7 linked regions of the Canis lupus familiaris genome follow. The protein of the gene in region 7 purifies or fractionates together with the protein of the main gene of each other region. This does not show direct contact. Links are inferred from orthologs where the notes say so. Each region holds a gene or a part of one and is shown on either strand. Other genes may lie near its edges. The genes, in order: HTATSF1, CMTR2, RIOK1, MEPCE, COPRS, CHERP and SNRPB.

What was found.
Region 1: the proteins of SNRPB (region 7) and HTATSF1 purify together in Homo sapiens (affinity purification with mass spectrometry; 3 studies listed by BioGRID and IntAct, with this or other methods). This does not show direct contact. The link is inferred for Canis lupus familiaris from reciprocal best matches to the Homo sapiens genes SNRPB and HTATSF1.
Region 2: the proteins of SNRPB (region 7) and CMTR2 purify together in Homo sapiens (co-immunoprecipitation; 3 studies listed by BioGRID and IntAct, with this or other methods). This does not show direct contact. The link is inferred for Canis lupus familiaris from reciprocal best matches to the Homo sapiens genes SNRPB and CMTR2.
Region 3: the proteins of SNRPB (region 7) and RIOK1 purify together in Homo sapiens (affinity purification with mass spectrometry; 4 studies listed by BioGRID and IntAct, with this or other methods). This does not show direct contact. The link is inferred for Canis lupus familiaris from reciprocal best matches to the Homo sapiens genes SNRPB and RIOK1.
Region 4: the proteins of SNRPB (region 7) and MEPCE purify together in Homo sapiens (affinity purification with mass spectrometry; 4 studies listed by BioGRID and IntAct, with this or other methods). This does not show direct contact. The link is inferred for Canis lupus familiaris from reciprocal best matches to the Homo sapiens genes SNRPB and MEPCE.
Region 5: the proteins of SNRPB (region 7) and COPRS purify together in Homo sapiens (co-immunoprecipitation; 3 studies listed by BioGRID and IntAct, with this or other methods). This does not show direct contact. The link is inferred for Canis lupus familiaris from reciprocal best matches to the Homo sapiens genes SNRPB and COPRS.
Region 6: the proteins of SNRPB (region 7) and CHERP purify together in Homo sapiens (co-immunoprecipitation; 3 studies listed by BioGRID and IntAct, with this or other methods). This does not show direct contact. The link is inferred for Canis lupus familiaris from reciprocal best matches to the Homo sapiens genes SNRPB and CHERP.

Annotation. Positions count from the first base shown.
Region 1 is NC_049260.1:107,814,800-107,818,299, reverse strand, and holds part of HTATSF1 (HIV Tat-specific factor 1), read right to left. Parts: intron 2,927-3,500; coding exon 2,837-2,926; intron 1,816-2,836; coding exon 1,678-1,815; intron 1,184-1,677; coding exon 1-1,183. UniProt on the Homo sapiens protein: Component of the 17S U2 SnRNP complex of the spliceosome, a large ribonucleoprotein complex that removes introns from transcribed pre-mRNAs.
Region 2 is NC_049226.1:77,703,493-77,707,621, forward strand, and holds the start of CMTR2 (cap-specific mRNA (nucleoside-2'-O-)-methyltransferase 2), read right to left. Parts: upstream 2,801-4,129; 5' UTR 2,651-2,800; intron 2,334-2,650; exon of another isoform or gene 2,101-2,333; intron 1-2,100.
Region 3 is NC_049256.1:8,648,144-8,652,420, reverse strand, and holds the start of RIOK1 (serine/threonine-protein kinase RIO1), read right to left. Parts: upstream 2,801-4,277; coding exon 2,730-2,800; intron 2,341-2,729; exon of another isoform or gene 2,197-2,340; coding exon of another isoform or gene 2,192-2,196; intron 1-2,191. Other genes in the region: CAGE1 (cancer-associated gene 1 protein), read left to right, coding at 3,300-3,309. UniProt on the Homo sapiens protein: Involved in the final steps of cytoplasmic maturation of the 40S ribosomal subunit. Involved in processing of 18S-E pre-rRNA to the mature 18S rRNA. Required for the recycling of NOB1 and PNO1 from the late 40S precursor.
Region 4 is NC_049227.1:9,182,778-9,186,897, forward strand, and holds the start of MEPCE (7SK snRNA methylphosphate capping enzyme), read right to left. Parts: upstream 2,801-4,120; 5' UTR 1,813-2,800; coding exon 133-1,812; intron 1-132. UniProt on the Homo sapiens protein: S-adenosyl-L-methionine-dependent methyltransferase that adds a methylphosphate cap at the 5'-end of 7SK snRNA (7SK RNA), leading to stabilize it.
Region 5 is NC_049230.1:41,073,836-41,077,580, reverse strand, and holds the end of COPRS (coordinator of PRMT5 and differentiation stimulator), read right to left. Parts: intron 1,642-3,745; coding exon 1,420-1,641; intron 932-1,419; coding exon 762-931; 3' UTR 501-761; downstream 1-500. UniProt on the Homo sapiens protein: Histone-binding protein required for histone H4 methyltransferase activity of PRMT5.
Region 6 is NC_049241.1:46,417,198-46,420,697, reverse strand, and holds part of CHERP (calcium homeostasis endoplasmic reticulum protein), read right to left. Parts: intron 2,468-3,500; coding exon 2,323-2,467; intron 2,230-2,322; coding exon 2,140-2,229; intron 738-2,139; coding exon 485-737; intron 1-484. UniProt on the Homo sapiens protein: Involved in calcium homeostasis, growth and proliferation.
Region 7 is NC_049245.1:19,125,763-19,129,798, reverse strand, and holds the start of SNRPB (small nuclear ribonucleoprotein-associated proteins B and B'), read right to left. Parts: upstream 2,801-4,036; 5' UTR 2,646-2,800; coding exon 2,643-2,645; intron 219-2,642; coding exon 67-218; intron 1-66. UniProt on the Homo sapiens protein: Plays a role in pre-mRNA splicing as a core component of the spliceosomal U1, U2, U4 and U5 small nuclear ribonucleoproteins (snRNPs), the building blocks of the spliceosome.

The sequences.
Region 1 (3,500 bases), on a different chromosome or scaffold from region 7:
GCCCTTCCTCCTTCACGTTGCCCACACCCCTCACTGTCCCTCTCTCATCAGAGTCGTCAAACAGCTTCTCACTGGAATCCTCATCGTCATCATCAAACAGCTTCCCGTTGGAATCATCCTCTTCAAACATCTTATCATCCACGTCCTCACCTTCCTTTATCTCTACTCCTTCCTCATCTTCTTTGTCATCCGAGTCTTCGAACATCTTCTCATCAACGTCTTCAAGCCCCTTTTCATCTGCATAGTCTTCATCCTCTCTTTCGTCTGACTCATCATCAAATACCTTTTCGTAGGTGTCCTCCCCTTCTTCCTTGTCATCAGACTCTTCGTCAAACTCCCTCTCTGAGACTTCCTCCTCAAACACTCTCTCAGAGCTGCTATCTCCAAATTCTGATTTGTCAGAGTCATTGTCTTCAAACTCCCTGTCGAGAATGTTCTCGCCGAACTCCTTGTCGGAGGCATCCTCATCAAAATCCTTCTCAAGGCCATTTTCTTCAAATTCTTTCTCAGAGCCGTCTTCAAACTGCTTTTCAGAGAAGTCTTCTTCGGATTCCCTTTCCGAGTCATCCTCTTCAGACTCCTTTTGAGGGCTCTCCTCTTCACACTCCTTGCTGGGGCCATCTTGGTCAGAATCCTTTTCAAGACCGTTCTCTTCATAATCATTTTTGAGCCTCTTCTTTTTGGATTCTTGTTCAGGGCCATTCTCTTTAGACTCTGCTTTAGGACCGCCCTCTTCAAACTCTTTTTCAGGGCTGCCTTCTCCAGACTCTCTCTCTGGGTAGTCTTCCTCACGCTCCCTCTTGGGGCAGCCTTCCTCAGACTCTGTTTTGAGGGAGCCTTCTTCAGATTCTTTCTGGGCGCAGCCTTCCTCAGCCTCTTTCTCGGGACCACTTTCTTTGGCATCTTTTTCCGAAGCATCTCCTTCAAATTCTCCCCCATCTTCGGTTTTTTCAAACTTCTTTTCATCGATGGGTTCTTCAAATGCCATTTCCCTTGTGGCCTCTTGTGCATTCATTTTCGATGTGCTAGGGCGCTCTGAAAAATGCCTTACCCTAGAAGGCCCCGCCCTTTCCGAAGCACAGATGGAATTTGAACGCCGAAGGCTTCTGTTAGCCTCGGGAGCATTAAGGAAAGCCTCCCATCCTCTCAGCCTTTCCTCCCTTTCTCTTGTGGTCTCTTCCACCTGTGGAGAAAGGGGAATTGCTATTAAAATGAGTTTTAGGCAAAAATAAATAACTTCTCTGCACACTTCTGATACTGACACAAATACCCTGATTTCATACAGCATCTCTTCTTAGGAAATCAGAGCATTTCCCTATATTCAGTTTTCAAAATTTTACATCTTGATTAATGGGAGTTGAGCTTAAGATCATTTAAACAAAAGCCCAACACCACAGTCCTGCAGAATTGTTAAATAAAGAAATCAAAGAAAAAGTTAATACTTGAATGCTCTCCATCCTTTACTTACCACTATTCTGAGCACACCTCAAAATTTCAGGCTTATAAACTGAAAAACTAAAACATTTTTCTTTCTATGCTCTGGATGCAAAGTATTATTTAGAAGAACTGTTACATTAAACAGATTAAACTGAGCCCAAAACTCATCTGAAGAACCACTAGATCAGCATTTGTTGGTAATGTTACAATTTATGTGCCCTTGATAGTTGCAGAATTTACCTGATAATCTGTAGTCCCATCCCACGCCTGGGCAGTGATTTGACGGCCACCAAACCACCTTCCATCAAGAGTTTGTATACAATAGTCAGCTTCCTCCGGATCCCTGAAGGACACAGAGGCCACACCATCGGGGTGTCTCTAGAAAGGGAAGAAAAGGCAGCAATGAATGATAAAACTAAAAATAAAACATACACATTTGACAAAATAAGTATGTAGTGGAGTTCTTTGATAACTTAAGCTTCAAGATTTTATGTATGAAGCCATTCTTCCTTTTTACTCCAGCCAGTGACTTGAAGCTAGCTGCTTCTTTAAAAAAAAAAATATTTTATTTATTTGAGAGAGAGAGAGAGAGAGAGAGATAGTGAGAGAAAGCACGAGCTGGGGAAGGGGCAGAGGGAAAAGCAGACTTCCCACTGAGAGGGGCGCCCGATGCAGGGCTCGATCCCAGGACCCTGGAATCATGACCCAAGCGAAGGCAGTCACTTAACCAAATGAGCCACCTAGGCACCCCAAAGCTAGCTGCTTCTTTAGCTTAATCTTGTATATCAAGAACCAAGCATGATGTTCTTGGAAATGCTTCTACCACTTAGCAGCTAAATGACCTTGAGCAAGGTGCTCACTCAATCTCTAAACTCCGAGCTTCCTCATCTGTAAAATGGGTAGAATAGTACCCACCTACCTCAAAAGATCATGAGAACTAAATGAGGTAACATGTAAAGTAGCCCGTATGCAATCAATAAATGGTGAATCTTTTAGTATGTGTCAATCTAGGAAGTAACAGAGTAAGAAGGGGAACATAGAGAAGAATATTTTGCTTGATTTTTCTTCAAATATGGAGGAGGAGAGTAATTCACCAAGAGGGGTAAATGGGGGCAAATAGGGAACCACAAGATCTCACACGTCTTTCTTGTACTCCTTTCATCTGATCACACACTCTAGGGCAATAAAGGGAAATCACCAAGGCATACCAAGTCTAGCAAGCCCTGACTTACAATCCATGTTCATCTAACTACTGCTGACAGATGACTACTACTAGATAGCAGCCCTACTATAGAAAAACATTAATCCAAAATTTGTGGCATACTGACCTCTGGGAATAACTTCTCAAAGGGAAAGAATGCTTGGCTTTAGGAATCATTTGTCTAAGCCACGAACTTACATCAAAGAGAAGAAGCTTCCTAATTTGTCCAAACTTTGAACACTCTACTCGAAGGTCTTCTCTGATTTCATTCAGCACCAATGGATCATCCTGCAAACATACACATGATTAAAACAGGTTTGCCCCCTTTAAATACAAACCCTGAGAAATCACATTTCTTGCTTTGACAAGCCAACATACCGAAAAAAGTTTTACTTAAAAAAAAGTAGTCTTGTCTGAGGCCTACAAAATCTTAAAAAGTCAAAACGGATTAAAGTTAGATCACCAAGACTGCAGCCACTGCTACAGGGCGGCCCTGCTTTCAGCTTGAGGAAAGGGCTGAGAATGGCGGGCAGCAGTAGGACTGTGCTGGAGCAGAGGGGAGGGGAAGCAGGGAAGGAGGACCGGGAATCCCCAATAACAGCAGCTGTACGGGCAGGAAAAGTCCTCTGACATATATGCAATCAGACACTGCTCATTCCTCTGTCCTGCACGGGCATCATGAGTGTACTGACCAGAGCCTTCTGCTTTGGGTTTTGCATAGATGCCTATTTACAGAAATGCTGTCATGGAGAGAGAGATAGCCCTTTCATTGACTAAGTGTTCTAAGATAGTTCTTTGTGCTTCCAAGATTCTATTTTAACTTACAGGGTAAACCTCCCTTATAAGGGTGCCTGTTCATCTT
Region 2 (4,129 bases), on a different chromosome or scaffold from region 7:
TTCTGTGTTTTAACACCGTCTAAGAAACCAAAAACATCTGTCCACTAGAGAGGGAAAGAGATATAATGGAAAAAAGCATGGCTTAATGGCACAGTGTTGGCCTGAGTTATAAATTCTAGCAGTTAGAGCTCTAAGTATTACCTAGGACTTGTTGGCTCAATGTTAATTAATAGGTGCTTTAGTTCAAAAGTTCCACGTTTACTCAGCATATTCAATGCTACACCAGTTTTTCAAAAAGTATCTAAATTGTCAAACACAAAAAAACGACAAAAAAACCACCAACCCACAAAAAGCCAATGTGTGATTAAGATGAGAAATAAAGTGAGCTAATGCCACAAAAAATACAATAATATATAGAAGGCTGTATTCTATTACCATTTGTTTTGTACTATATTTTAGCACACTTTTCTCATCCTCTTCTATTTTGTTTAAAGTATTTACAACCCTGTGTACTCCACTAGCCTATAAGCTTCTTGAGGTAACAAGTATCTTCTTAGTCATTTTTGTTTGCCACAACGTATTTACAATACACACAAATCATCAGTTAGTAGTCACACTTGCCCATCAATACCTTGTCCATATATATATATATATATATATATATATATATATATATTTTACTGTTAGAAGCTATATTCAGACAGATTTCTGAAAGACAAAAATGAGGCATTGTCACATTCACTAAAACCCTAAATAAAATCAAATGAAAGTTTATTACAAGTTATTCTGTCTTAATTCACACTGTGCTTACTGGAAACTATGACCATGTTTAGATCGCAACTATATTCTATTTTGGAAAAAGTCTGATTTTAGTCTAACTTCACATACTAATTAATGGCTGTAGGTAAGCTCTGAAATCTTGCCTAAGCTAATAGATAATTATCTTTACATGAGAAAAACTAAAATGATTCAATGATTTAAATCATTGATTTGAATCATTTGAATCATTTGAATCTTGATTTGTGTACCACAAATGTATTTTATGTATTTATATATAAATTATGTATTACATATATCTTATGTGTTTATATATCTTATGTATTTATATATAAACTATAAATATTGAACATGTATATATTGAATAATGTTCAGGTCTACAATCCCACCTTTCTTTCCTCCTATCAAATTCCCAGGCTCAAGCCACTCGCTCACCCACCTCCACCTACCAGCCTCCTACAGACACTGTCAATTTTCTGCGGGGCTATTGCCAGAGCCTTCTAACTGGTCTCTTCTATCTTTGTCTCCCCTGGCTCCCCATTTCACTCAAAGTAAAGGCCACAGTCCTTACAATAACCTCCAAGGACCTTGAAGATTTCTGCCCTCCAGCCCCAACCCATCTCTAAACTAATTGTCTATTGTTCCTCATATTCTTTCTGTTCCAGCCACACAAGCTTTCTTGCTGTTCACTGAAGCACCAGGTACACTGCAACCTGTAAGCCTGTGCACTGGGCAACCCCTCTGCCTGGAACACTCTTCCTTCAGATGACCTGCACAGCTCACTCCCTCACCTCCTTCAAGTATTTACTCACATGCAATTTCTCTATGAAACCTACCCCAACATCCTAATTGCATTTTGCAATACCAATGGTAAAGGGAAGGACCTTGCTGTACTTCTTTTTTCCCCCATGACACTCTTTTTTTTCCTTATAACATATAGTTCGTTTGCTTATTATGTTTATTACTGTCTTCTCCCAAAAAATAGAATCTAAGCTCCACAGGGCAAAGATCTTGGTTTTGTTGATTCATTTATCACACCGAGGTTATAACAGTGCTTAGGACACAATAAACAGTGAATATTTAACGAATAAATGTTAGCACAAATGGCACTCGTCAGATTAGGTTCTGAATGAGTCATGATAATGCACTTCAACCTCACTCCGGCATGACCAATGCAATACCCAAAAATTAAAAAAAAAAAAAAAAAAAAAAAAAAACACGTGGTTTATAGAGAAAAAAGTTTCCCGTGGGTTCCTCTGCGCCTTTCACTGAGCACGCCATCGAGCTCTGAGGCATCACAGCTCCGCTAGGAGGGTCAGCAGTAACACTCCTATTTTGCAGTCAAGTAGGAAGTCATGCAGCCCGAAGCCTCGAAGGAAATACCTGCAAAATCGTCGGCCTGACACGAAACGCACGAGACCTCATCAGCTGTGCTCTCTCCAATTAACGTCGACTAAGGAGTTTTAGAAGTTACCTCCCGCAGCTCGGCTCCCAGCGACTCCGGCAATCACAGCCCGAGTGTCACCTAGCGCCTTCGCTACTTCGGGCCGGGGCGCCCAAGACCCCGTTTCACCGGACGGAAGGGAGTCCCAAGCTCCATTCGGGCGAGCGGCCCGACCCCGGGACGAACCCCCGGCCCACGCCCCGCCCCCGCTCCGGACCGGCCTCGGAACCCGGGCCTGAGGACCTCCGCTCACGCCCACCTCACCTCGCCCCCCGCCCCGCCCCGCCCCGGGGGAGAGGTAGCGCCTCCCTCCTCTCCTCACTCGAGGGAACCCTCCTCCGCTTCCGCTCCCGGGGCCGCTTCCCGGAACGGCCGCTGCTCGGGGCGTGCGGCGCCGGCGCCCCCGGCCGCAGCGGAGGTAGGCGGCGCCCCGAAAGGCCGGGAAACTGGCCCGGACGCGCCCTCGCGACCCCGGCAGCGGGAACCCACCTCCAGGCAGCGCCGCCGCCCGACGCCGGCCGCCCGCGGCCCGAGGGCCCCGACACACACATTGCGCACGCGCCTCGAGGCCGGGCTGGCGTTACGCGTCAACGTCACGCACGCCGGGACTCTCGTAGCGCCCAAGCCCTCGCTCGCTGGGTTTCGCTTCTCCTTCTCCGCGGGGTCCCGGGGACGCCAGCCGCCTTGCCCACGGCTCCCATGGCAACGGAAGCCGCTCGCGGAGGTGGGGCGTCCTTTGGCCCCGCCCCGGCGGAGGGGGGGGCGGGGGGATGGGCGGGGCCAACCTGTCCCGGACACGCTGCCTCCGCCCACCGGCCCTGGGAGGGGAAGCTTTCTAACCTCGTCCGGCAAAAGTTGGTTCCTAACTCAGGCTGAGTTAAAACTCGTGCTCTAAAAACAATATGAGGTTAAATATGATATATAATATCACATAAAATCATATCAAATATGATATATAATATTTATAATATTGATATGCTATAAATAATAGCATATTGATATATTTTATATATCGATTATATATTACATATTACTATAAATAATAGTATATTGATATATTTTATATATCGATTATATATTACATATTACTATAAATAATAGTATATTGATATATTTTATATATCGATTATATATTACATATTACTATAAATAATAGTATATTGATATATTTTATATATCGATCATATATTACATATTACTATAAATAATAGTATATTGATATATTTTATATATCGATTATATGTTACATATTATTATATATTATATATATATATTTTTTTTAGGGGCACCTGAGTGGGTCAGGTTGAGCGTCTGCCTTTGGCTCAGGTCGTGATCCCGGGGTCCTGGGATTCAGTCCCTCATCAGGCTCCCTGCGTGGAGCCTGCTTCTCCCTCTGCCTGTGTCTCTGCCTCTCTGTGTCTCTCATGAATAAATAAACAAAATCTTTAAAAATAAATAAAAATAAAAATACATTATTTTACAAGTCCTTCAGGATATGCATCGATCAAAGGGAAAAAATTGTCTTTCCAAAAAATGGTGCTGGGTCATTTGGATATTCGTATAGAAAAAAATTTTATGTGGACTCTTACCTCACATAAAAAAAATAACATTTCATTTGGGTTGCCAATCTATATTTTAAAAAGGCAAACAACTCTTTTAGCAGAAAACATCTTTGTGACCTTGAAATAGGTAAAAAGTTTACAACAAAGCAGAAAAAGCACTAATCATAAAGAGTAAGTATATAAATTGAACCATATTAAAATTAAGAATGTCTATTCACCATAAGACACCATTGAGAATGAAAAGACAACCTACAGAGTGGGAGAAGATATTTATAACACATATGTATGACAAAGAATTTGTATCCAAAATATATAACTCCTACAAATAAGTAAGAAAAAATGCTCTAGGGATCCCTGGGTGGCTCAGTGGTTTGGCGCCTGCCTTTGGCCCAGGGCACAATCCTGG
Region 3 (4,277 bases), on a different chromosome or scaffold from region 7:
TCTATACTAATAAATGTATAAGTTTTCCTTCCACCACACCTCCCAATAAAACAGATTTCAGAGCGCCATTCCCATTGTTTGCTCATTCTCCAAGTCCTACTAAACAAGTACAGCAGGTAGGAAACCCACTTCTGCCTTAATGAAGTTAGGATTTACACTGTCATTTTCATAAATATAATCCTTTTTTTAAAAGATTTTATTTATTTATTCATAGAGACGAGAGAGAGAGAGAGAGAGAGAGAGAGAGAGAGAGGCAGAGACACAGGCAGAGGGGGAGAAGCAGGCTCCATGCAGAGAGCCTGACATGGGACTCGATCCAGGGTCTCCAGGATCTGGGCTGCAGGCGGCGCTAAACCGCTGCGCCACCGGGGCTGCCCCATAAATATAATCCTTAATTTGATCCTTCAATTGCCATAAACCTAGAGTGGCATGTTTAAGCTGGACTTCATTTGTACCAGAACTCCTCAACCTCAGCTGGGCAATTCTTTGTTGTGGAAAGTTGTTTTGTGCCTTGTAGGACGTTTAGCACTATTTCTAGCCTCTACCAACCAGATGCTACTCTGCACTCCCCCACCACCCAGTTGTAACAAACAAATGTCTCTAAAGATTGCCAAGAAACTCTGAAGTGTGGTGGGGTCACAAAATCCACTGATTTATCTTCAGTCTTGTGAATAGTGGATATTTCCAGTGATGGATGGTAAACCAGTGCACACTCATTACTGTTTATTCACCAGTCGTCACTGGGCTGTGTTTCTTCTTCCTACTTCTTCCCTAAAGATTTATATATGCCTCTTTGGAAACAAAAATCTGGAATGCTTTTGAAATAAAATCCTATTTCTCTGGCTAAATCTTATGTAACCTTCCAGTATTAGCTTATGATCAATTGCTCAGGGAAGTCTTCCCTATTCCTTATCCACTTTTCTTTTGTACTACTTACCCAATTCTAATGCAAATATCTACTGTCTAATTATTTTTTAAAGATTTACTTATTTATTTATTTAATTTATTTACAATAGACATAGAGAGAGAGAGGCAGAGACACAGGAGGAGGGAGAAGCAGGCTCCATGCTGGGAGCCTGACGTGGGACTCAATCCTGGGACTCCAGGATCGTGCCCTGGGCCAAAGGCAGGCGCTAAACCCCTGAGCCACCCAGGGATCCCCATCTACTGTCTAATTATTTAATGTTTCCCCTCCTCCCATGCAAGCCCTGTGTCAGTCAGGGTGGTGTTTACCAATGTATCCCTACCCACTGACATTAGATGTGACACACAGAAAACGATCAACAATTTAATAAAACCTACAAGTAATGAATCCTTACTGTGAACATAAAGTAAAAACTGCTTGTAATTCCAAAGGAACTCTTAGTTTCACGTAGGCGTTATCCTTCATTCCTTTTGCTCACATCCGATCCACCACCAGATCTTGTCACTTCTACCTCCAACACATATCTCTTTGACCCTATCTCTAGCTCCCGTCATGTTTGAACTGAATTACTTTATCATTTTTTTTCTTTAGAGAGAGAGTGCATGACTTGAGGGTGGAGGTGGGGTGCAGAGGGAGACGGCGAGAGAGAGAATCTTAAGCAGGCTCCACGCCTACCTTGAGCCGGATGCAGGCCTGAATCCCACCACCCTTGAGATCACGATCTGAGCTGAAATCAAGAGTCAAACCCTTAACCGGCAGAGCCACCCAGGCACCCCCATTTTATCAACCTTGAACTGCTTCCATCCGTGCCCATCCTCTCTGGAAGAGTAATTCCTTTAAACCATAAATCACATTGTGTTATTCCCCTGCTAAAATTCTCTCCTATGGCTTTCTTTCTATTAAGACCTGGAAAAACATCGCCAGCTCCTTGTCATCGCTTGGGAGGCTGTACATGACCCGGCCCCTTCTCGTTTCTACATCAGAGCCCCGCCATCCTCCCAATTCCTGCTGTGCTCCAGGTACGTGGCCTCTAGATCCTCCCTTCACAGCCAGAAGGGGCAGCCCCGCTGGGCCTCTGCACTCTTGTCTCCTCTTGCTGAACTGCTGTTCCCTCCTGCTCTTCCCGACTTTAGCTCCTTTTCTGTCCTTCCGATCCGGACTTACCTCTCCCCTGACATTGTCAACTACTCGGCCTATCAACTCATTTCAATTATTTGCACTAGCGCCTAACATCTGTTTCGGGGCTCTTAGACTATCTCTATGTACCCCATCGTCAAGTCCTCGCTCCCATGCAGAAGGCAATGTTCAGGCGACGGCAGGGACTCTTGTCTTATTCATCACCGTCTCCAGCGCCGCCGACAGAACCTGCACACAACAGGCGCTCCGATACCTTCTGGACGTTGGATGCAGCTCAAGAGGCAAAAATCTGTTTCCTGGGCGGCCCGGGTGGCTCAGCGGTTAGCGCCGCCTCCGGCCCAGGGCGTGACCCTGGAGACCCGGGATCGAGTCCCGCGTCGGGCTCCCTGCGTGGAGCCTGCTTCTCATGAATAAATAAATAAAATATTTTTTTTTAAAGAAAAATCGGCTTCCTCCCCGCTGTCCCCGGCTGCAGACAGTCGCCTGACTCAGCGATGCTAAGCGACCCGGGGCTCCTTTGGGGGGCTCTGCCGCAAAGTGGGATAAAAGACCCCGCGGGGGTGCGGAAAGAAGCGAGACAACTACTGGTCTCCCTCCAAAGCCGAGGGGGCCGGGGGGGGGGGGGCAGCGGAGCCCCCGCGGGGTCGGGGTGTCGGGGGCCGCGCACCTGTCGGAGGAGTCCGCGTCGTCGAACTGCCCCGGGACCACGCGACTCATCAGCAGCCGGCGGTAGTCCATCCCGGGAGCGCGCAGAGCCCCGGAGGCCGTCCGCCGCGCGCTGGGACAGGAACCTACCTGCGGCCCATGAGACCGCCCTTCGGCAGACGCCCGCCCAGCACGCGGCTCAGAGGCTCCGCCGCGAAAGGCGGGCGCCACGCGCTGATAACGCACCTGCACCGGCAACCCGGACGCGCGGGGGGAACTTCCCTGACCGGAAGTCCCGCCCGACCGGAAGGCGCGGCCCGCCGGAAGTCCCGCCCCTTCACGAGGCGGTGGCGGCCCCTGCGCAGGTGGGGGGCGTGGCCCAGAGGGGGCGTGGGAGCCCGGCGGGCCGCGAGCCTCGCGGAGATTGGCTGGCGCGGCGGGGTGACGTCACACGCGCGCGAGTCCAACGCGCCCGGTACCTCCGGCCGTTTTTTAACGCCTTGGGTGGGAGCGGGTGTGACGTTGCTCTTCGTCCCGCGCCGCGGCGTGCGGAGGCGGGAGGCTCGAGGTCCTTGCCGCGGTCCGGGAAACTATGGAGCCTGGTAGTTAGACTTAAGGAGTTTGGTGCCGTGTTTTGAGGGTAAACTAAGATAAGTGATTTTTTTTTTTTTTAGAGAGTTTGTCATACGACTGAAAACGCCTTAAAACCGAACTAGAGGGGCAGCTGGAGGGCTCAGGGCGTGACCCCGGGGTCACGGGATCGAACCCCGCATCGGGCTCCCCCGCAGGGAGCCTGCTTCTCCCTCTGCCGGGGTCTCTGCCTCTCTCATGAATGAATGAATGAATGAATGAAATCTTAAAAAAAATAATAAATAATAAGTTGATAGAATGTGCACTATGAATAAAGGTCCAGAAATGTGATTGGAAATTCTAGACCAAAAAAGTTTAAGGAATAAGACACTTGGTTTTTTGTTGTTGTTGGTTGCTTTTGTTTTTGTTTTGCGTTTAGAAAACAAAGATTTTTTTCAGATGCCCTTCACCACAGCGCAGGCAGCATTTATGTGTTTGGAAAGATGGAAAAGGTGATTAAAAAGTTCACTAATCCCTGGCTAGCCTGCTTGACCCACTGGCTTTTTTTTATACTTTACGGGATGACATAGTAGCTTGCAGGGGGAGGGGATGGGAATCAAGCCTCAATTATTATTCGTTAATTCAGCAATTCAATAAAATAAAATCAGGCAAATGGCCAGTGACTGTAGATGGAGAAGTTTTAGTAAAAGTAAGTCCTTGGACTGCAAGGTTCGTTCAATCAATAGTCACTCTGTGAACGACATTGCTGTTTGCTGTAAGGAGTTCTGAAAAATCACGCATGGACTCCAATGGACGCACTTATAGTCTGTAAATACTGTGGGGCACCTGGCTGGCTGTAGGAAGAGCATGCGACTTGATCTCAGGGTGGTGAGTTCAAGCCCTATGTTGGGTGTAAACATCACTTTTTAAAAACGTGTAAATATTGACACCCTTGAAAGGGTGGCAGAGGTTAAAACAGTAAAATGAATAGGTGCTGAAT
Region 4 (4,120 bases), on a different chromosome or scaffold from region 7:
ATCCCTGAAGATCTGGTTCTCCTGGCAGAGTACATGCAGAAATCCCTCTGGGTCATAACTTTCCTGTCTTATTCCCACTTAATCTCATCTTCACACCTGGCCCCTATACCAAGAGCCTTCAGACCCTCTTACCGTGACGAAGACAACATTGTTGGGGAAGACTGATGTGTCTGCTCCATCCAAGGGCACTTGGGGTGCAGCGATGGGACCCCGGCTGGCTGTCAGTGAGGCTGGGAAGCAGCTTCTCTTTCGGACGGTTATGGTCCCTTCCTCACTCTCTGCCCCTGGGTCCCCCTCAGAAGTCTGGGATGGCAGACGCAGCTCCTCAGACAGGTAGTGTCGGATGTTTTGGCGGGCCGAATGAATGAGTCGGGAATCGATATCCAGACCCACCATGCGGGATGGGCCCCACTTACAGGCAATGCTCAGGGTCAGATGGCCCACATTGCAGCCCAGATCTAGGACGTCCCGACCCCGAAACCACTCAGGCTTCAACACTCGAAGGCGCCCATCCTCACAGGAGGGATTGCGGTAACCATAGTACTTGCAATAATTCCCATACTGGAACTTGAGCTGTTGCTTTTTGAAGACTGCTGCAGGTAGTGGGTGGAGGTGGAGGTGGTGGTGGTGGTGGTGACGGCCTCCCCCACTCCCTCTGCCCTTCTCCTTGGGACCCTGGACTCCACCCCTAGCCCCTGCCTCTGACTTGCTGGAAGTCCTGCGACGTTTGCGATGTCGTGAGGAGGAAGACGGGGTTGCAGAGGTAACTGAGGCAGCTGGAGGGGCTGAAAGGGAGCCTGAGGGACCCTGGAGGGCAGATGGAAGGGGAGACACGACCTCATCCCTGCAGTTGATGGCTGTGTTGAGTTCATAGGGCTGAGGGGCATCCCGGTTCTGGCCCCTGTGCCGCTGCTGCTGTGGGGTGCCCTCCCCATGGAGTGAGGGAGTGAGGGGGGCTGTGGGGAGCACAGAGTGGCTATCATTCCCTCCGGTTGCCTGCTGCTGCTGGTGGTGCTGTCCCCGATGTCTATGCCGCTTCCGACCAGTCTTGAGTGGCGATGCAAGAACTACCTGGGCCTCATCAGTGCAAGTATTGAGACTGAGCGGGTCAGTAATATCTTTGGGGATGAGGATCTCCACTGGATCTCGCCCCTTGGCTGGAAGTGGAGATGACTTAGGGGTCTCTGCATTGAGTGCGCGGCTCACTTCCTCATCCAGGAGGCTATTCAGGTTCAGTGGATCAAAGATATTGCCCCCCAGGAGAAAGTTGGAGGGTAACACAGAATCACAGTCCGAATTAACCCGCCTGCGCCTCTTGAAGGCCGGATGTTTGAAGCCTCCACCACTCCCTCCCACGTTACAACTATTTCTCCTCTTTCCCCCACCTCCCCCAGGGGGCCGGTGGGGCTGATAGCCATTGCGGGGTCGAGGAGGGGCAGGGGGACCCAGTTCTGTTCCGCCTCCTCCCCTTCGCTCCTCCCCAACGTCAGGGGGAGCGGCTCGCCCGTGGGGATCCGACAAGCGGGCCTCCCCATGAGACTGCGCCTGGGGGCCGCCCCCTCGTTGCTGCTGCGACTGGCCTCCCCGAGTGGATGTAGCCCCAGGGCTCTCCTTGCCGACCCCAGAAGCCGGGACCCCCGTCGAGTGTGTGCGCGGGCCCGGCCCACGCTGCGTCCCGCCGCAGAGCTCCCCGGAGGCGGCCTCTCGGTGAGGTTGCAGCGTGGGGCCGCCCCCTCCGCCCGACTCATCTTTGAGCGGCGGCGGCGGGGCCGGCACCAGAAACGGCTCCTTCTCCGCCGCCATCTCGATCATTTCCTCCCCTTATTCCGTCCCAGTTGAGGGCAACGGGGGGGGGGGGGGGAGAACTAGGGGGCTTAACCCCCCTCCCTAGAGCCCGCTCCCTTCCCCCCTTCCCTGAGTGCGCGCGCAGCTCTGCTCTTCTCGCCTAGTCTCGCGCCCAAGCGCCTCCCCCGAAGCGCGCCCCACTCGCCCGCGAGACCAAAACAAGATGCCCGCGAGAACCGAACAACTCCAGGAATCAACCGCGCGTGCGCCAACGCCTTTCTCCTCCACCACTACCGCTTCGCCGCGAGCGCGCACTGCTAAAGCGCGTTCCTCTCGCCCCTGAATCACGCATGCGCACTCCGCCACCACCCTGGTTGCGCGCGCATGAGTACGAACCAACTTAACGGCTCCGGGAGTTTAAATATAGCCCACCTCAGCCCCCACAAAAGCCCACCACCCCAAACTGACACCCTACTTCCCTTCGCAGCTATGTCCGTCCCTACTGATATCCTTTGTCTCTGCCGCGCGATCCCACCCACCGTAGGCGGGGGACGGGGAGCTGGTGTGAAAAGGTCTCCTTGACACCCGACCCTTGTTCCTGAGGAATGAGTCTCAGCGGTCTCCGCCCGGCTCTAAACCCAGCAACCTCCCTACCCCGCCTCCTTCCTCCCCCTAGCGGGCAGCGCCTGCGCACACCCTTTTGGGCTTGCGCGGGTAGATACAGCACGTGCTGGAGATGACGCCCCTCCCTCCACCCTAGGGGCGGAGACTGTTACGTCGCTTCCTTAGATTTGGTACACGCAACGTGCGTCAGCACGGTTTGGAGGGGGCGTGGTCAACGAGTGGGGCGGGCCTCATGAATTATTCATATTTCGATCGCCCCCTTTGCCCACCTACTTAGAAAGGCTTCCGAAGGAACGGAGGGGTGAACCTAAAAGTAGAGGAAGGGAAGGAGAGGAGCGTACAGACGGCTTGCCTACGAACTGTTCTCAGTAAAATACAATAAGTCATTGTAACTCACCCCCCTGGGAAATAGTCTCTGCTGAACTGAAAAAAAAAAAGGCACTAAAACAGCCGATGTTGTCCAACTTCCTCTTCCCCCGAAATGGCCGAGTCGTTCTCTCGCTCCTCCGCTTTACCCCAATGGCGATCACCTGGGGACACCACGCCCTCCTCTCCGCCTCCACACCCACAGCCCTGGCACCAACACCTCTTCCCACCACCCGACGCCTGCGCGCGAGCCCCTAGCCCGCCGACTGCGTCCCGACGCCCACCGCAGCCACCAATAGCAGCACATTCGCCACCACCACGGCCACCTCGCACGCAGGCCTTCCCAAGCACACGCTCTCTTCGCGCAGCCTTATATAAAAACGAGTGTGGGCGGGGAAGAGGGTTCGGCCTGCTTTGGGCCCCCTGCCTCGGCCAATGGGGAAGAAGCTGCTCGGCGCCCTTTCCACAGGGTGCTAAGGTGGCGCGTTCTCCCTGCCAACATAGCTTGGGGAGCGGGTCCTGTGGCAGAGAAGAAGGCGGGAGGGGCGACAGTGGGGTTGCAGATAGTCTCAACTAAAACATCAAGATAGGGCGTGAACGAGACTAAAAGGAAGAATAGGAACCAGGAAACGAAAAGAGGAAGGAAAAAGCAGTCTGGGGTAGAGAGAAAAGTTAGTAACAGACAGATGTGCTTCATGAACGATCAGGCGCTGCTCCCGCCGCCTAAAAAAAAAAAAGTGAGGACACTGAGGATTATGGGATTTGTAGTTTTACAGGGCATTCGGCTGGAAGATGGCGGATAGAACAGCTGCGCAAAAGCAGAAGCAGTTTCGGCTGCGCATGCGCCCCAGTTTTGGATGCACGCCGCGGGGGTGGCAGCGCAGCTAGTGCGTGTCCTCACGCCTTTTCTTTGTGGCGGGAAAACTGGGTCGAGGTTGGAGGGGTTTGCGGAATTGCTGCAGTGGCTCATTCTGCTCTTTGCCTTTAGGTCCTCCTTGCTCCAGAAGGTAGCTGGCTTTTCTCCGGTTGCAGATGAAAGTGCTAGGCGCTGCCAGTCCTGGTACCCGTCGCCTGAGGAGAAATTTTCTCTTCTGGACAACCAACTCCTACCCCTCCTAAGAATCTCCACCGCAGACCTACCCTCCGCAAACAAACAAAAGTGACCCAGTATCCTGGCGGCCAGTGACGGGCTGAGCAGGAATGAGAATACGGGTGCCTCCCCCGGGGGTGGGGGTGCGGTCGGGCCTCTAACGGGAAGTTATCTCATGGTGGCGGTTCCTGAGGTGGAAGAGAGGCTTGCAGCAACCCCCTGTTTTATCCACTGAGGGGAATCAAGGACTTGGAC
Region 5 (3,745 bases), on a different chromosome or scaffold from region 7:
ACATGGAACCTGCTTCTCCCTTTGACTGTGTCTCTGCCTATCTCTCTCTCTGGGTCTCTCATGAATAAATAAATAAAATCTTTTTATAAATAAATAAATAAATAAATAAATAAATAAATAAATAAATAAATAAATAAATAAATAAATAAAAAAAAGTTCAAAAATCCTTTCATACCAGCTGAGGGCTACATAACTGCTGGTTTAATCTATTTGCCATTTAGTGTTACGGCCTGCAGAAAGTTCTTGTTAACTAAGTAAATGGTCAATTTTTCATCAACAGGAATAGAAGAAATCAGCCACCAAGTCATCAATGTTTCCTGGATTCTAATCCTTGCCCCAAAAATTATTTTCTTTCACAGAGTAGTTTTAAGTGTCCAAGTATTCCAATCCTTAAAGTGTAAGCCATTTTACAAAGCCATTACTCCTTAACTGAAGGAGTAAGGCTTTGCTGGTAAGTAAGTATCCAGTTAGAAGGGGGGAGGGGAGTAAACAAAAGCAGATCAAATTTTTTCTACCTTTATTTATAAAGAACACGACTCCTCCTGACACAGACGCAAACACTCACATGTCCCAAGGAGAAGCTCATTAAAAACAACAACAGCATAACTGGAGGACATTGGGACCTTATCTAATGCCAGTCTGTGTGCTCGACTTGGGGATCGCTGGGAATGTGTCATCAAATGTGACCTCCACCTCCATGAAAGGAAGAGAGACCTTCATTTGGAAAGGCATGCCCACCCACCAGGCCAGAAGCTGCACACTCAATCTTCAGCATCATCAAACTGTCCTGTTTCGAAGACCATCTTGGAATAATGGGGTATCAGTGGAGGTGGATGGTGCCAACTAGGGTCATAGATCATGTCTCCTTGTGGGGCACAGCACACCCAAGGTTTGACCTCTTGAGAGATGCAACCCTGGATGTCATCAGCATCTGCAAGCAGTTAAAAAACAAACAAACAAACAGATTAAAGGTGGGGGGGGGGGAGGCAGGGACCGAGAGCCAAAAATACCTAGGGGACAGACACCTGAACTTTGTTTAAAAGCACACAGAGTGCTCCCTGGATTGCAAATGTGTTCATTCTGAGGAAGCCACCTAAGCAGAGCTTCTCAAAGGGGGGTCCTTTGCAGTGCAGAGGCTGCAACTGCAGAAGACAGCACTTCTGTCTGCAGAAGCTAGATTCACAACGATATTTTAAGAGAACAACACTGTTTCAATGTTAAAACTGATACATTATAAAGTCAACTACAAAATTTGTATTTTTTTCCAATATGAAAGAGAGGCTGTCACAGAAATTTCAGCCCTGTAACAGGTGTCAGGCTAAGGTCACAGACTGGGTCCGTCTTTCAAACGGTCTGCCTGTGGGGTAATTTGGTAAGAGGATCTCCGAACCTTGGACCCCCCAGAAATGCCACACCTACCATATGGATTGCCTTGATCTGCTTTCAACTCCAAATCCCAGTCCTCGTTAAAAATATCAGCAGCCGATTCCTTGGGCGGACAGTTGGACACCCCTTCTGACAGCTCCCAGGTATTCAGGTCCCCATCAGAATCCTCATCATCCACAGCAAAGCCTTCCTCTTCCGAGTGGGCGCCCTCATCATGGGTAGGACTACCATTAGGGACACTCTGTGCTCCACTGGCTAAGAAACCAACAGAAGGGAGAAGGTCTTAAAACCACCAGCATCTGCACAAGGCCTACTCATCATGTGCTTGGAAAATGTTTGCCAGATTTACTGTGAGGGCAAGAAGTGAAACAAGTGTACAGAGTTCTTTAGCCATCTGAGCACTTTATTATTGTTTTTTGAAAGATTTTATTTATTTATTCATGAGAGACAGAGAGAAAGAGAGATAGAGAGGCGGAGACAGAAGCAGAGGGAGAAAGCAGGCTCTATCCAGGGAGCCCGACATGGGACTTGATCCTGGGACTCCAGGATCACACCCCGGGGTGAAGGTGGCGCTAAACCGCTGAGCCACCCGGGCTGCCCCACCTGAGCACTTTAAAACAAAAATGTTGGGCAGCCCAGGTGGCTCAGCGGTATAGGGCCACCTTCAACCCAGGGCTATGATCCTGGAGACCCGGAATCGAGTCCCACATCAGGCTCCCTGCATGGAGCCTGCTTCTCTCTCTGCCTGTGTCTCTGCCTCTCTCTCTGTGTCTCTCATGAATAAATAAATAAAACCTTTTAAAAATAAATAAATAAAAAATAAAACAAAAATGTTGTTCTGTTTACCTTTTACAAAGTATGGTTGATCTTTTTTTTCAATAAAACTTTTTGCCTTAAATGAGGCCATTAATTGCAAGCTCTTGTAATTTGCACAGGGAATCAAGCAAATCAAGCACAGTTTATATTTTTAGGTAGTTTATGGGTAATTGAGGCAAAGGGCATCTGGCAAATGATAAGCTTTCATGACACGAACTTGAATTGAATTTTTACTATTCTATTTCTCTCTTCATCCTCAAGGAGCACAGGACAAGGTGCAGCAGGAGGAAAGCAGATGGAAGAGCAGAACCCATCTAATCACAGTAGACAGCCACCACGTCTCCTCCTCCCAATACTGGAGAGGGCTGGACGGTCTATTTTCAAAAAGTCTCAAAATAATGGAAGAAAGTCTGGGAGAGGATAAGAGACCTCCAAGTGTATCGTGCTATGGTAATGCCAGGTAGAGCTGGGAAAAGAATCAGCCTAAAAACAGCCATGTTACGAGTACTGCATAAGAATGACCAACAGCTATAAGCAAAAAAGTAATAGTTCAGGGCATGGGTTCTGGGGCTAGACTACCCCAGTCCCAATGCTGGTTCTGCCAATCTGCAATTGTGTGACTAAGCTGAAACATACTTAACCAAGTCTTCAAGAACTTCAACACACAGCCCAGCCATTCCACTCCTACATGGACCAAAGAATGGAAAACAGGTATTTTAACAAGATCTGTACAAAAATGTCCATGACAGTACCGCTCACAATCACCAGAAGGTGGAAACAGGTCAAATCAATGCCCATCAACAGAATGAATAACCAAGCAAGATGTGGTGTAACCATATGATGAAGGGATTCAGCTATAAAAAGGAATGTACTGATTCATTGTACATGAATGAATCTTGAAAATATTATGCTGAGTAAAGGAAGCCAGACATATAAGGCCATATAGGGTATCCCTCCATTTACATGCAATTCACATTTGCCTAACCAGCATAGGGGAAACCCAGAGACATAAGGCAGATCAGTGGTCGCCAGGGACTTAAGGAAGGGTAGATGGGGTGTGGCTACTTATCGGGCAAAGACTTTCCTCATGGGATGCTGAAAATGTTCTGGAACTAAACAGCCGTGGTGGTTACACAACACTGTAACTGTATGAAGTGGCACTGAGCTGTACTCTTTAAAACTGGTAAATGATAAATTTTATGTGTTTTACCACATTTTTTTTTTCATTTTTACTCTGTGCCTCAGTTTTCACATCTGTAACTATGAAGATAGGATTGTTGTGGGTGTTGTTTTTAAAAGGGGGCAATGGGAAAAGAAACACTTAGAATTGTACCTTGCACTTACTCAGTGTCAGCTGTTATGACTATTATCTCCATGTGTGCATGGTGCTTTTTCTGGACCAGCACTCTCTAACAGGACTTTCAGTGATGATGGTAATATTCTCTCATCTGTGCTCCAAAAGGCTAGCTAGCATGAGCCACATGTGACTGCTGAGCACTTTAAACGTGGCTAATGTGAATAGAGAAGTGAAGTGTTCGTTGTA
Region 6 (3,500 bases), on a different chromosome or scaffold from region 7:
TGAAAGATGGTTTCTTCACCGCCTCATCTGTTGTTTCATGCAACTTCTAAGTGCTAAACCACCCTTACACATTCCTGGGGCAAATCCTATCTTATCATGGTGTTTTTTTTTTGTTGTTCTTGTTTTAAAACACCTTGCTGGATTTCAGGTGTGGCATATTTCTGCATCTTTGTTCATAAGTGACACTGCCTGATATCCATGAAACTTTCTCTTTGTCCATCTGGTGTAAAAGTTACCCTGGTCTTGAAAAATGATTTGGGCAGCTTTCCTCTCTGTCTTCTCTGGGATAGTCTGTACAGCAATCACCCAAGCTTTAAGGGTTTGGTTGCATCTACCTGTGAAATCCCTGGGCCTGGTGTTTGCAAACAGGTCAGAATCCGGCCTTAGGATCTGGTCCACAGAACCAGAGCCCTTCTCTGGGGAACGAAGCTGCCTTCTTAGACCACCCCACCCCACGGAAGGGGTGCCGAAGGAGTCCCCATACCAGGCTGGGTGGTTGGTGGGATGGCAGGGGTAGGCGTGGGGGCCGGAGGCGGGGCGGGCGGCGGCGGGGTGGCCTTGACCTCAGCCTCCATTTGTGGCATTTGAATTTGTTGTTGCTGCTGCTGCTGTTGTTGCTGCTGCTGGGCCAGGCTGTTGACAAACTCCTCGTGCTGCGTCTTAAGGGTCTGGATCTGCTGCTGGAAGGCCAGCTGCACTGGCTGGACCACCGAGGAATACTCGTTGATGAGCGTAGCCTGGCAGAGAGAGGGGGGAGCAGCTGGCACTCAGGATGGAAGCCTGGGGATCACTTCAGGGCCCATCCCTTCTGGCAGAACCCAGGGACAGGGCCAGGAAAGCCCCGGGAATTCAGGACAGGGCCTCAGGTGCTGAGGCGCAAGAGCCCGGAGCAGGTGGCCACGTGACTGTCATGTAAAACAATTAACATGGTCTTGTCAAGCACAGAGTGTATAAATCTTGCCAAAACGAGTGACCAGAGCGCTGGCTGCAGTGAGGTGTGTGATTCCCTAACAACAGGAAGGAGCCATGCCCTGTCCTATCACACGACTATCAGAGATACGACTCAGACAAATGGTCTAAGCCGCAGGCACGGGCCATGGTGCTCACTTGCTACGGGGTTCTAAGCAAGTCATAACCTCCCTGAGCCTCCGTTTCCTCCTCTGTAAAACAATAACAGGACCTCCCTTCAAGGATTTGTGGGGACAACCCAGTGAAACACCACATAAAGTGACTAGCGTGGCTGAGTAAACACGAGCTGCGGCCACCAGCTTCGGGAGGGACGGGAACAGCTAACGCCGCTGCGATAGGGTGTGATAAGCCTGCTCTAACAATGAAAAAGATAAAAAAATTCACAACTGGACATGCACGTTCCTCATATGCCTTTGTGGGAGTATGAAAGCTTCCCCCCTGTGCGGGTAGCCTCCAGGCCGTCGCAGAGGAAATGGACAGCACAGCTTCTGAAATTCAACCTCCTCTTTTCCAAAACCACAGCTTCCGGCCTGAGAAGAGGGGGTGTGAGCTCTGCCTTTATTCCAGCAGCTGTAGACGGGGCAGCCAGGCTGGTGTCACAGCAGAAGTGACCAAGGAGACCTGGCTGGCCCTCCCTTTCTGCCCTGCGCCACCATCATCTGAGCAGATGCCTCCCCAGAGAGAAGACAAACCCACACAGAGGACGTGACTAATGCACAATGTGGCCATGACAGCCTAGGTGACGTCCAGGCTGCTTTATGCTTCCATCATGCAGAAGCAAGCCCAAAGGACCAGGGCCGACAGGCCAAAGCCACTGCCATGAGCAGGGCCTGAATAGGGCCACCCGACCACAAGAGCACCAGGAAAATAGTCAGGCGGGCTCACCTGGAAGGGGCTCGCTGGTCACTGTGGAGAGAGCAGGAGCCCCGCCCACAGGCTGCTGCTCAGACCCTAGCCTCCCGCTCTCACCATCATTCCAGAGACACGTGTGGGAGTCCCGTGTGCAAAATGCTACCTGGCCTCCGAAATCACCACCCCACCGGCAGGTGCCACCCCAGGCAGGGGCTGTTGGCCACCTGACTTCTGGGAACGTGCTGGAATGCAACTGCCCCACTCTCTGGGGATAGCCCCCCACCTTCTCGGTGCTGTGTGGGTGGGGAAGGTATTCACCTGGTACTGGCCGAGCCCCAGGGCTGGGCTCTGCAGCTGCTGGATGATGGAGTCGTCGAAGTAGCCGTTTTTCTCCCAGAGCTGCAGGAGCTGGGTGCGGAGGAAGGAGAGGCCGTGTCAGAAGGAAAACCAGCAATCCCCACCCCCATTCTGCCCTCCGTCTCTCCTGGCTGCCCCATGTACCCGTGCGATCTTTTGCTGCTTGTCCTCCTCCACGGCCAAGAAGCTGGTGCAATAGATGGGCACCACGACTTTCTGCAGGGCGGCCAGCAGCTCCCTGGCCTGCTTGCGCTGGCTGTGAGGGAGAGACCTTCCGCGCGTCAGGGCCCTGGGGCGGGACCCGGCCACGCGCCCGTTACCATTGCGGCTCCAGCCACAGCACCCTCTGCCTTCTCGGGACACGGGCCCCCAACCCGGCTGGGACGAGGGCTGGGCTCCCCACAAGACCTGTGCTGGCGCCTGGGCCCGAGTGACAGGTAGATAGCAAGTGGGAGAAGGGAAAGAACAGCCTGGGGACCTTCAGAGAAAGGGCTGTCACCCTGGTCTTCTGATCCGTAAAATAACCCTTCCCTCCCGGGGTGGCACAAGGACGCACAGACCCAAGGCCTGAGGAGCCCCAGCTGTCCATGTGGCCTCACTCAGCCCTGTCACCCCCTATGCACAATGAAACCACAGCTCAATCCCCGCCTTTCAGGAGGTGGGGGAGTGTGTGGGGCAAGCCAGGCGTCTAGGGACGTGAGGCAGCCTGCCCTCACATCCTCCCGGGGTGGCTGTGTAAGGGGGTGCAGAGGCCGTGGCCCCCATGGCCGTGCGTAAGGCGGCAGAGCCCGACAGCACATGTGCTGCCTCTGACAGGAGGGAGGCAAAAGGTGAGTAGCCTGAAGCCCTCCCAGCACCAAGTCCACCAGAGGGTGCTCAGAGACAGCAGTGAGTGCAAGGCTGGGAACCAGGACGGGGAGAGGAGGGGCCGAGCACAGGGTGAGCGGCACTGGGCTTCTGCATAGAGCCGAGCAAGAGGAGTGTGGCTGGACAAATGCCAGAAACGGGGCCGGGTCTCTGCAGAGCTGCCCTGGTCAGCAGAGTGGCTGGTGGCAGCAGGAGAGCAGAAAAGGTTCTGAGCAGCTGCCTATTCCCCAACAGCAGAAAAATAAGGGAGGGGCAGGGTGAGGAGCAGCCAAGTGGCAAGGGAGCCACCTATGTGGCACAGGGAAACAGAGAGCAGAGGGTGAGGACCCAGGCTGCACGTGTGCGTAGCAGGAGATGGGGCAAGATGGAGAAAGGGGCAGGGAAAAGGCAGAGTCACTTTCTGCTGCTCTCGGGGGAGCCATCCCCTTCAGGCAGGCCAAGCTCAAAGCCAAACT
Region 7 (4,036 bases):
TGGCCCACCCACCCAGTCCATTTCCCTCACAATTTAAATCCCACCCCCATGCAGCCCACTTCTCACTTGATTTTCCTGAACTCATCACAGTCACAGAGAATCAAATTCATATGCTTGTCAAAAGCCTTGAAGGTGCCAATGAAGATCCGGCCGTCTTGTAGGATGCACCTCATCCTATAGTCGATGTGCTGCAGCATCTTGCTGCTCTTGCCCACAGTCTGCAAGGAGAAATCAGCAGGATCAGAGTCAAGCTCTTTTGAACCTATATATCCCTGGTCCTTCCTAAAAACCAGCTCTGGCCTACTTTTCCACATGGCTATCTCTCTCAACAACTTCTCAGCTCTGTCTTCCTTTCCCGGGGAATTCTCCCACACCCAGTGTTCAGCCCAGACCTCTGCCCACAACTCTCTTACTCTCCCTTAAAATCAGTCTTTTTCATATCACAATTGCCTGTGTGTCTGCTGTGTCAGTTTCAGGGGTGAGGAGTAAGGTATCTCCAAACTAATCCAATCCCCCCATACCAGATTAGCCATCTGCCACTATGCAGGTTACAGGTGTGTGACTCCAGTGCTGTGGAACACCCACAGCCCAGTTAAAGGACCGAGTAAAACAGCTGGAATGATTGGCACTAAGGATCCAATCAGCAAGAATCTATTATCAGAAAGGAGCTGATGAGCTTGGAGGCAAGGCAAATGGAATCCCTAAACGAAAAATGTTAATGTGCCTCCAAAACTGTCTTTGGGAGGGAAACTTTCTGGTGGCCAGGGTGCTCATCAGTTTGAACACATAATGGTCTTTAAACTTCTTTATCAATCCAACAACCTTTTCTGGTTTGTAGCCTGGCTTCCAAGGTAGCTTTGGTAAAAGACAGACTAAATAGAACTCACAACGCAAATTGCCAGGTGCCTTTGGCAGTTATACCTCTCTAGAAATAACCTGGCATTTGATTTGTGTATCAGCCTTCCAAGTGTCGTCTTCTTGCCAGTTACTGTGCTTGCTGTTCATCTCTGTAAGCTTGGACAAGAACAGGTTTTTCAACCCACCAATGTGTGGATCAGAGCCTTGCCTAGAGACACAAGTTATGTGGCTCACTCTCCCTCAAATGACTGTTAACCAGCTACAAGCTGGTTAACTTGAGTCCAGTGTCCCCATTTAAATCTGCCCTCTAGATTCTAGCCACACAGATCTGAAGCCTTATGGCAACATTTACTGGTCTGTCCACCTTATAATAGGTAAGTCTTCCTGGTCGTTCACTGCGTACCAGGCACTGTGACAAGCACTAAATATCTTTTATTTTTTTAAACATTTTATTTATTTATTCATGAGAGACACAGAAAGGCAGAGACACAGGCAGAGGGAGAAGCAGGCTCCATGCAAGGAGCCTGATGTGGGACTAAATCCCGGGTCTCCAGGATCACACCTTGGGCCCAAGGCAGATGTTTAACTACTGAGCCACCCAGCAGTCTCTAAATATCTCATTTAATTCTAAAAACCAGGCTAATTATTATTCCTATTTTACAGATGCAGCCACTGAGGTCAGGAGAGGTTAAGTAGCTTGCCCCGTCTCACAGCCAGGAAGCTGGTCTGGAACCTAGACAGACTGAATCCAGTGCCTACTCTTCCAAACCAATCCTACAAACAATCCCCGGCTTTCGGTTCACCCAACACGCAACAGCCACAGAACAGAGCGCTCTTTCTAAACACAACTGCGTCCACGTCATTTCGCTGGCTACATCCTTCCACGGCATCCCTCATCACCAACGGGATCAGGCAGCATGGAAAGCCTTTAGTAGCCAGGTTCCTGCCAATTCCTCCCATCTCTTCTTCCATCCCTTCCCCCTCGACCCCTCCAGGAACCCTCAACAGTGCGGCCCTTCACGCCCTGCTCTTGGAGCCCTCCCAATCTACAATACTCCCTTCCATCGAGGCTGGGGAGACTCCTGTAACAACCTGTTAGGACTCTGCTCAGGAACCATCTACTCCAGGAAAACGTTCTTATCCCGCCCCCCCCCCCGCCCCGTTACTTTTACGCAGCGCTTAATTACCACTCTGGATCATATTACCTGCGTCCGCAACTAGAAAGCGAAAGGAGTGGAGTAGCCCCAGTGCCTGAGAAGCCAGACACGCTCACACAGACCTGCCCCACAAAGGAGTTGAACCCTTCCTCCATCTTCGGTTTCCCTCCCATTCCCTCCTCCCATCTGCTAGACCCAAGCACGCTCTCTAGTTTCGGCCAGAAGTCCTCCCCGCTTTCCGCAAGTCCCCCTCAGACCCTCACCCCGTTTCACGAGTCCTCCTGAGGCTCTTATGTCTGCTCCGAAACCCCAAACGCGCATTTATTGCGCAAAAGTTTACTTCGTGCCTGCAGGATCCCAAGCACCGTGGCTACAGCGGCGTGGACAGCCGCGGGCCCATCCTCGCCACCACCTAGCGGCCCCGGCCTCCGTCCCTCGGCCCCAGCCCTCCCTTCCCCCAACCCGTCCAAAGGCCACGGTCCGAGTCTCCCCCGCCCAGACGCGGCGGCTGCGGCCCGGGCCTTCGCCGCCATGAGCCCCCAACCCACGACCTCCTCCCGACCGGCCGCGGTGCCCACTCCACGACAGACTCGGAAGTTCCCGCGCAGCCGGCCTGCCCGTCCTCACCATGGTGGCGGTTCTGATGGCTCCGATTCCCGCCGGATTGCCCTCAGCAGAGGCCTAGACGCCCGCTACTACACCGCTTCCCGCCGCCGCTACCGGAAGTGCGGCCGCGGATAAAATGGGGTCGGGTAAAAACTACTTCCGGCCCGGCGTCGGCTCTTGAGTTCCGGCCAAAACGCCGACCTGGGAGCCTAGACGCCCGCGGGAGTTTGGGGCGGGGCTAACGTCAAACAACATTTCCCGGGATGTTAGGTCACCTCCCTAGCTTCAATCGGTTCCGGAGCTGCCCGCACGCCCCTCCCCATTACCTCTGGGTCTCCAGGTCCCACCGCTCTTCCCTGGCCTGTCCTTTTCTGTGAACTTGCTGGACGAGCTCCTGCCTTAGCACCTTTGCAATGCTAGTCGTCCAGGTACCTGCACGACTCCTGCCCGAACATCCTTCAGGACTTCAGCTCAAGTAACATTTTCCCACTGAGGACTTCCCTGGCCATCCTTATTTAAACTGCAGCCTTCCCGCCCTTACCTGCTTTATCTTCCTCCTTAATGGTGATCCCTAATATACCGTGTTTCTGTTGTTATTCCTCCCCATTAGGATGCAAGTTCTGAGGGTATAGATTTTCCTTTGTGTATTTTTCGTTACCGCAATGCCTAGCTCTAAACATATTTCCATGAACAAATGAGTCAATCAACCAATCCCATCCAGTCCTATGACTTGTGAATACTACCTAAATGCTCAGGAATTTCAGATTTATTCCTCTAACCCTGGGTGCTTTATTTAACTCGTGGCCAAAATCTCCAGCCACCTGCTTGACCTGGAGGTCTAATATACTAAATATAACATGGTGAGGGACGCCTGGGTGGCTGACTGGTTGAGCATCTGCCTTTGGCTTAGGTCATGATCCTGGGATCCTGGGATCGAGTCCCGCATCACGATCCCCGCAGGGAACCTGCTTTTCCCTCTGCCTATGTCTCTGCCCCTTCCTCTCTCTCTCTCTCTCTCTCTCTCTCATGAATAAATAAAATCTTCTTTTTTTATTTTTTTAAGATTTGCATGGGCCAGAGCTGGTCTACAGTCATCAGGCAAGCCAAAGATGGGAGCAGGGTCACCGAGGGACTTGGATGTGCATGGGGAGCCAGGGTGACATTGACACAAAGCATATACTGCATAGTGTCTGCACCTGAAGGGCTGCAGCAAACAGATATATCATGCATATTGGGAGAAAATAAAAACAGCATAGCATGGTATTATATTCCATTTCCACTGGGGAAAAGATTATGCTAGGAATCCCATTGCTGACAAACTAGGGCAGGTGTACAGCTAGGTTGTCTTCGAGGGATGATGGGGGGTGTCACTAGCAAGGTTGGACTCCAGGGATGAAGGGCTGAGGGGGCATGGT